Sus scrofa: one gene and its partner. The protein of the gene in region 1 purifies or fractionates together with the protein of each later gene. This does not show direct contact. Links are inferred from orthologs where the notes say so. Each region holds a gene or a part of one and is shown on either strand. Other genes may lie near its edges. The genes, in order: RACGAP1 and FAM98A.

Region 1 (3,817 bases):
CATAGGTCGCTACTAAAAATGAATGCAAATGGTTAAAATGAGTGAGGTGAAACTAGACCGCAGTGAAAGACAAATAATTCTTCAGTGGCCATGTTAATGCCTTTTTTAGGGCCCAAGGAAGAGAGATGATTGAGAGACATAAAACCTAAACTAGAACTTTTAAAGTGGCCGTATTGTACAGAACATCTAATTAGATGAGAGCAATCCCTCAAGAGCAAGGATTACATCTAACACCGTCAGTATAGTGTCTAACATTCTGTAAGTTCTAAAACTAATTACCAACATAATCAGAAATAAAGGACCAGGCACTGGAGATAATCACGACAGAAGTTGATTCTTTAACCTTTTCTTGCCTCTGTGGTATTGATTCCTGATTCTATTATAATAGCTTCAATTTTGGAAAGAAAGCATGTTAACTTACTATTGCTCTCTAGCCTCAACATTTGAGACCCTCCCATCCCGCTCCCTGAATTGTGAGTTAGGTACTCTGACTCAAGAGGCCTTTAAAATTCTTTGTAAATTTATTTGCACAGGGTTTTGGGGAGGCCTAACCAAAGAAAGAAATTAATACAGTGTAATTGTCAACAGGATTGGGATTCTTCTTTGGTAAAGAGTTTTAAACTGAAGAAGAGAGAAAAGAGGGTATGTATGGTTTTGTTTAGTTTGGGGGTAGTGGTGGTTTTTTTGTTTGTTTGTTTGAACAAAGTGGCAGTAAAAGAGTTTTCCCCCCAAATGGTGCCTTTGGCATCGTATTGTATTCCTGGCATGTCGCTCTAGCTATTGTTAAACATGTTAGAAATGAAACCATGTTTCCGGGTGATATAGATGTTCCTTGAAGGAGTAACTCAGGGTAGAATCCTGTCCTGTTTCACTGCTCTGGGCTGCTTTCAGTTCATTCATTGAGAGGAAAAAGATATATTTAAGTTTGTTTTAAGTTGTCACATGAATTTTTATGCAAGACTTTTGTGTTCTAATATAAGTTTCCTATAAAATGTGTGTAATGGGATATATAGAGATCTATCTGTGTGTGCTTATTTAGGGGACTCAGTATGTTTCTTCAGGCTTCATGTTCTTAGATGGGATTACAGTCTCCTTTTTCTAGTGCTGTCATCTAAATTTTTCCAAAGCTTGCTTGCTTCTTCTGGAGGCACTGAGGGCATTTTTGTGTTGGTACAACTTAAGCTGTACATGGAAATAGACAATGAGAGAGAGCACATTGTTTGTTATTTACTGTAGCTTTGGTAACTAGGACTTGCATCCAAGTTGTCTAATGGAATAGTTTTGTCTTTCATGCTTCAGATCTTCTATTTGGCACTAAAATTCTTGGTTTTTACTCCATCTCTAGCGCTCTAGTAGCCGACAGTTCATTGATGGTCCCCCTGGACCTGTAAAGAAAACTCGTTCCATTGGCTCCACAGTAGACCAGGTAAGACTAGTGAGGCCAAGAAAATTGTGGTCTCGAATATGTCAAAGATTAGTGGCCTCAAGCACTAAAAATCCCAAGTCAGTATTGCAGTGTTACTTAGAGAGAGACGTTCAGTGAAAGTTTTTCTGTCTCGTAGAATCCGTATTATCCAATTTGAACAGAATAGTTAACAACTGTCCACTTTATGTTTGGTTCTTAGTTGCTTGTATGTGTACCCCTGTGACCTATATTTCTGTTTGAAAGTATGAGATTTCAACTTAAGAGTGTTTGGACCTGGGGACTTAAGGTCCTGGCTGAAACTCAGGAATTTTTCAGCTGTTCCCAAACACTGTTTAGTGGAGGGGAAGTTAGATTCATTCTTCCCTCATTATTACCTTTGTTTCAGGGAAATGAATCCATAGTTGCAAAAACTACAGTGACTGTTCCCAATGATGGCGGGCCCATCGAAGCTGTGTCCACTATTGAGACCGTGCCATATTGGACCAGGAGCCGGAGGAAAACAGGTCCGCTGGGTTTATGACTGAATTGTCTGTGTAAAACAACTAGTAAAACCTGGGGAGAATTGGTTTCTTAGACCCCTCATGAGGCAGAGTTGGATGTTTTGGGTAGTTTCTTACTGCTGCTTACTGAGGGCCAGAGCACTGTTGTGTCATGCTCTGCCTTGAGCTTGCTCGCCTGGCCTAGCCATTATAGTCACTTCTGGTTGTTGTTACAGATTACTGGTGATCTACCGGTTACATTAAAATTGGGGTTAGAATTCAGAAGGAACAAAGTACTTAGGACCCAAAGTTTGGAGTTGCCTGTTTTCTAGGTACTTTACAGCCTTGGAACAGTGACTCCACCTTGAGCAGCAGGCAGCCAGAGCCAAAAACTGAGACAGACGGCTCCAGCACTCCGCAAGGCAACGGAGGGATGCGCCTGCATGATTTCGTCTCCAAGACGGTAAATTGGGGATTGCTGCTACTCTTGGGCACATCTAGTTTTTTAATTGTAGAAGTGATAGTTACCAGTAACAAGTTTAAGTACGTTAGTGTTACAAACCGAGTGCGGGTTTTCCTTCCTCCTTCCAATCCCTCTCTCTCCAGGGGTAACTACTGGTTACGGGGGTTGTGTATCTTTCCACTCTGTGAGTAATATCAAATTAAAAGAAAGCAACTTTTCAGAAGCAGTTGTTTGTGCTTTTTTAGTGATAAGTATTTACATTTAATGCTTGACTACAGCATGTTTTTACTTTGTCCCCTTTGATTTCCTCATAAAAACCCAAGCAAACTGACTGAGGCTCAGAGGAGTTAACTGACTCGTTTGAGCCACAGGACAGTAAGTGGCAAAGTCAACATAGGGGTTTTCTGACTCCTTGTCAACAGATTCTTTCTGCTGCTATATAGTGATCCCTTCCAGCTGGATGCCCTTATGTAAATTACTTAGCCTCTTTTTGCCTCTATTTACTTAGCTTAAAGAAAACAAAGTATTTTATTAGGATCATTGTGAGAGTTGCACAAATAAATATGTGGAAAGGGATTAGAAGGTTGTTTGGCACATGTAGGTTGATGATTCTAATTCATACCACTCCCTGTTTCATCCTCAGGTTATTAAACCCGAATCTTGTGTTCCATGTGGAAAGCGAATAAAATTTGGCAAGCTGTCTCTGAAGTGTCGAGACTGTCGTGTGGTCTCTCACCCAGAATGTCGGGACCGCTGTCCCCTTCCCTGCATTCCTACCTTGGTAGGGACACCTGTCAAGATCGGAGAGGTATGATCTGTGGGAGCCATCCTTGTGTTATGGCTTCTTTAGCTTTTCAAAATTTAGGTCATTTTATTCTAAAGCTAGTGATGCCAACAAATAGTGAATAGAAGTTAGAAAACGATGGGACTTCTCTCATAGCTCAGTGGGTTAAGAATTCAGCATTGTCACTGCGTGGCCCTGGTTACCGCTGTGGCACAGGTTTCATCCCTGGCCTAGTGACTTCTGATGATACGGGCATGGCCAAGAAAAAAAAAGAAATTTTGTTTATTATTTTTATTTATTTATTTACTTTTTTAGAGCCGAACCCACAGCATATGGAGGTTCCCAGGCTAGGGGTCTAATTGGAGCTGTAGCCACTGGCCTATACCACAGCAACAACAACACCAAATCCTTAACCCACTGAGTGAGGCCAGGGATCAAACCCGCAACCTCATGGTTCCTAGTTGGATTCGTTTCCACTGCACCATGTGGGAACTCTTGTTAAGCAATCTTTTAAAATTAAATTCCTCTTTCTTTCTTCCTCCCTCCTCCTTTCTCTCTCCCTCCTTTTCCTTCTTTTCTTCCTTGTCTCCCTTCCCTCGCCCTCTGCCTCCACTTCCTTTCCTTTTGTTCTCTTCATTCTCCTGCCCATCCCATCCAATTCTGTA
Region 2 (4,472 bases), on another chromosome or scaffold:
ATAGTATGTGTTAGAACTTACCTTGAAAAGTGAGTCAAGAATGAAAACTTTTTTCCCAACTTGATTTTGCACAATTACTTTTTGTTTAGCACCTTCAATAACCCTATAAGAATAACTATTGTTTTTATTTTAAGGTATTTATATACAGGATATACAAGCATACATGATTTGTTTATCCAACTAGCTACATCTTCCTATTTTTTCACATCCTGCTTATAAATCCTTATTTGACTAGTCAAATAAGAATAAATATGAATTTAGAGATATCTCAGTTTCAAAAGCCAGGTCTTACCATTTTTGATAGACAAGCCAACTAAGCCTTAGTGTCCTCACCTGCAAAATGGGAGTAATACTTACACAGCCTTATGATGATTGCATAAAATAACACCGATCAAGGAAATAATACAATTCAAACACACAGTAGATACATAATAAATGTTAATTCCTTCCCTCATTCCAGATGGTGCAAAATAAGGAATTTTAAAGGTACTATGAAGAATAAGGAGCATTTATCCATTAGATACCAAAATATTTGAGAACTACAAAATAAAATTTACTGATAGCAGTGTGAAAACTCTTTAATGCCTACACAGTGCACAATTATGCCCATTTATAGTTAAATGTAATTTTCTAAATATGCCATCACTTCGAAAACAATTTTTCTCATTTTTTTCAATAAATTCTAAGTACATACCCAACCAGTAACTGCCAAGAAACCACAGCCCATCGTGATGCGAGTGTCACACCATGCCAAAAAATGCCAAATCGATAACGGTACAACAAAAAGTTTATTTACCCTTTAAACTGCGTGGGTTTAAATATATTCCATCCTATTTGATATTGACACACAGCGAAGGCCCCCCTCTTACCTCCCTCCCCCACCCCTTTAAAATAAAGATTCTTAGTGTCTGGGAAGGGCTTAAGAAGTCTGGTAGAGAACGGCAAAGGAACGGAATGAATCAACTTTCTGAATACATCCGTGTCAAGGGAAAGTTTACTCCTTAACTCCGAAATACAGCTACTGCAGCCACCAGGAACTCCGACGGCATGTTATCTGCCATTCTCGGCACTTGTCCCGTCTCTAGCCCTGTTCTAAGGAATTAGAGCGAACGAACTTCTCCCTCTCTACGGCCCACAGGTAAGGCTGGTCACCCACTCAGGCGACTGGGATCCAGACAGTCAGTTTCACAGCAAACGCCCACCCAACTCTATGGACCCCCACCCTCCCCCGCCCGAGGATCCTTCCCCGCCCGCCTCGCCCCAAGCTTCGCACATGCGCACACCCAATTAGGAAAAATTAGAGCGCCCCCGGCCCTCGCCAGGTCCCCACGCCCAGCTGCCACGCAGCCAGTCCTCCTGCCCTTCTTGGGGCCGTCGGCTTCACTATTCAGTAATACGCATGTGCGTGTAGTGTCGCCTGACCATCTTTCAGGCGGCCGGGGCGGGCCGGCAGGCGGGACCAAGTTTCTTACGCACGCTCCGGACATGCGCAGTGCATGGACTGAGGCGCCAGCTGTCGATTTGGAAGTTCCGGGGAAGCAGCGCATGCGCGAGTGTACGCGTTGCCGGCGAAGAGGGGAGCCTGACGACTCGGAAATTTGAATACCACAGTAGCATGGAGTGTGACCTCTTGGAGTCTGACATCTTGGAGTCGTTGGAAGATCTAGGGTAAGACTGCCAGGGCACGGGTCTCCCAAACCCCACACTGTCGCCCACCGGCCCGAAAACTCCTTCTCCACCTCAGTCAGCGACACCTGCCTCTCCACGCCTCACCCCGTGGCTCCTGGCTGTCGCCTCCCTATACCTCCAGGACCCCAATGCCACGTCCACTGCCTGCTCTGCTGGGTCGGGGCCCTCCGGCTGCGACGCCCCTAGGCCTGCCCTGTGCTCGGTGCAGCCAAGTTTCCCGCAGCGTTTGTCAGTCATGCGTGTCATTGTCTGGGCTCTGGTTCACGCCACCCCCCTCCCCAGCTTCTCTCCGTGCTCCCCATCCTTCTGCCCTACCCCCTCACTCTGGAGGTTGCCAAAGTTGATTCTCTGTTTTCCTACTTGTCCTCCAAACTTCCTGCTTCTGTCTTGAGCCCCTGCTCCTACCCCACCCCACTTCGCTCAGAAAATCTCCTTTGCCCAGTCATGTCTGCATGCACCCAGGCTTCCCTAAGGCACATGTCTGCGCTGCATCCGTTCTGCCAGCCAGCTCACTTATACACCTAACCTGTCACCACCTTCATGGGAACCACTCGCTGTTTCCCTTGACTCTGACACACCTTCACTGAGCCGCCATTAGCTCTTAGTCTTAGGGGCATCCTCACCCACCAAGTCCCAGCGTATTTGTTGTGCATTTTTGTCTCCCCCTGACAGTTAACCCAGCCATAATTCATCAGTATCTGGAAGCTGGAAATAAGGCTGCTTATCTCACTGGGTCACCCAGATCAGTGTACTCTCTTAAAACTTGAGAACTTAGAATTTCTTGGGCTAAATGCTGTCCAGAAACAAATTGTATAATTAAATATTTGCCCACAGTACAGCTTAAAAAAAAAAAATACGGATTTAGAAAACTATAAAAGTAACAAGTCTCTTATCAAAACCTTCCTCTAGGTTTTTCCATGCCATGGAAGCCTTTGGGGGAAAGCTTACTTTAGTATTAAAAGAACAAGGGTTCCCAAAGTCTGCCCATTTTTAGGAAAGGCAGTGGTTGTGCTTATCTTTTTCTGTCAATATGAATTACCATTGCTCTTTTCTTTGGAGCTTGCTCTGAATTTTCATGAATAAAGTCAGACTTTAGGCAGCTTATTTCTTTGATGAGAACCTAAGTAAAAGTCACAATCAGCAAAGTGGTGTCTTTTTGGTGAACCTCTTAGACTAAATTGTTAAATTTCACACATGAAGTATTCAGTAAACACTTTGGGTCTGTTGGCAATGTTGGTCTGAACACTTAAGGGTACAAAGTGAGGTGGAAGAAAAGTTCACACTGTGAGAATATGCCTTGAGAACTGAGGAGAGCCAGGAAGAAAGAAAACTGGGAAAGGAAACAAGTCCTAAGCTTCCTAGAAGTGACACTTAGTGTTGAAGGAGAAGTAGCATGAGAGGATGAAGGTAAACCCTACTTAAATGAAGTCCATCTGCAACAACTGATGATGGATGCCACTTCTTCCTATGATTGTTCTCTTACCCTTTGTTAATTGTGTTTTTCTTCTCTTGGGTACTGGAACAGTCATTGTAACTGTAATAACACTAATTAAATAAATAATTGGGATGGGTTGTAAGATAAACCGTGGGATTTTCTGAAAACTTGACTATAAATTTTAACCCGTAACGTGTTAGTTTGGTGGCATTCAGCCATCAAAAATTAGTCTTAATTGATTGATGTGTGCTTTTCAAGGATTTACTGGGAAATATTAGAAATAAATGACCATTTATTTCTCACCTGGTACACAGTAAGAATTCAGTAATTACTTGTGGGATAAATCAATAAAATTTAAGTATGTAACACAGTGAGACATTTGTAGGCCTAGTTTGTTTATTCCAGTTTCTAGCAATATGTGGTTTTGAATCTAGATGCCAGACTATATAGAATCTCACTTTTTGCGTAAGATTTCTTCTGTCCCATTAAAAATATAAACATATAATTATATTTTAAGAGGGTTGAATGTTACATTTCTCTAACATCTCTATACCTCTAAATATCAAGTTATCTTAAGTATATTGAATGTATCATGATTAGCGTTTTTATCAAGATTTCATTCATAAAAGATGAATATGTGTTTTAAAATTACTTTGAGAATGGCAGAATCTTTAATTCTAGCCATATTCTAGATTGGGGTTCATTGTTACTATTGTCTTTTGAGTGTTTGAATGTTTAATAATTTTTTAAAATGACCTTTGATTCACTTGCAAAGAATTAGGATTCATTTGCACCAGTTCACCTAAACATCAGCTCACCAGCAGTTAGTAAATTAATCTTGATATTAATTTACTAGTATATCTTACTCATCTTAATGTCATTAAATATAGAAAAAGGAAAACAAATGAATAATTGGGAAGTTTTTGCTTTTAAAGACAGTCATTAAAAACCTAATCAAATTAATTTCTGGTAAAACCTCTAGAAAAGATAACCCAAGTTTTATTTCTGAGATAGTAAACTATAGTATAATTTGTTATCACTTAGAAATCTAATTTTAGTGCTAATTCAGTTAAAGTAAGAAAGTAAACCTTTGTACAATAAGGGCTCTCAGTAAATGTACAGAGGTTGACGTAATTTAGTAGTACATATGATTCTATTCAATAGTCCCATATTTTGAAGGAATTAGCTTGTTTTTCTAATAGTTTACATTTGCAAGTTTAGAGATTGGTCATTGTAACTTATCTGTGTTAAATCATTGCTTAATTATAAAAATAAAATGTAAACATATTGTATCTGTAATATATTAGATATGATTTTATATTCTTCTGAAGTGTAATTTCTTACTCAC

Evidence for each region.
Region 2: the proteins of RACGAP1 (region 1) and FAM98A purify together in Homo sapiens (co-immunoprecipitation; 3 studies listed by BioGRID and IntAct, with this or other methods). This does not show direct contact. The link is inferred for Sus scrofa from reciprocal best matches to the Homo sapiens genes RACGAP1 and FAM98A.

Annotation. Positions count from the first base shown.
Region 1 is NC_010447.5:15,925,291-15,929,107, forward strand, and holds part of RACGAP1 (rac GTPase-activating protein 1), read left to right. Parts: intron 1-588; coding exon 589-642; intron 643-1,345; coding exon 1,346-1,426; intron 1,427-1,811; coding exon 1,812-1,929; intron 1,930-2,237; coding exon 2,238-2,368; intron 2,369-3,011; coding exon 3,012-3,176; intron 3,177-3,817.
Region 2 is NC_010445.4:106,060,057-106,064,528, forward strand, and holds the start of FAM98A (protein FAM98A), read left to right. Parts: upstream 1-1,510; 5' UTR 1,511-1,615; coding exon 1,616-1,668; intron 1,669-4,472. UniProt on the Homo sapiens protein: Positively stimulates PRMT1-induced protein arginine methylation. Involved in skeletal homeostasis. Positively regulates lysosome peripheral distribution and ruffled border formation in osteoclasts.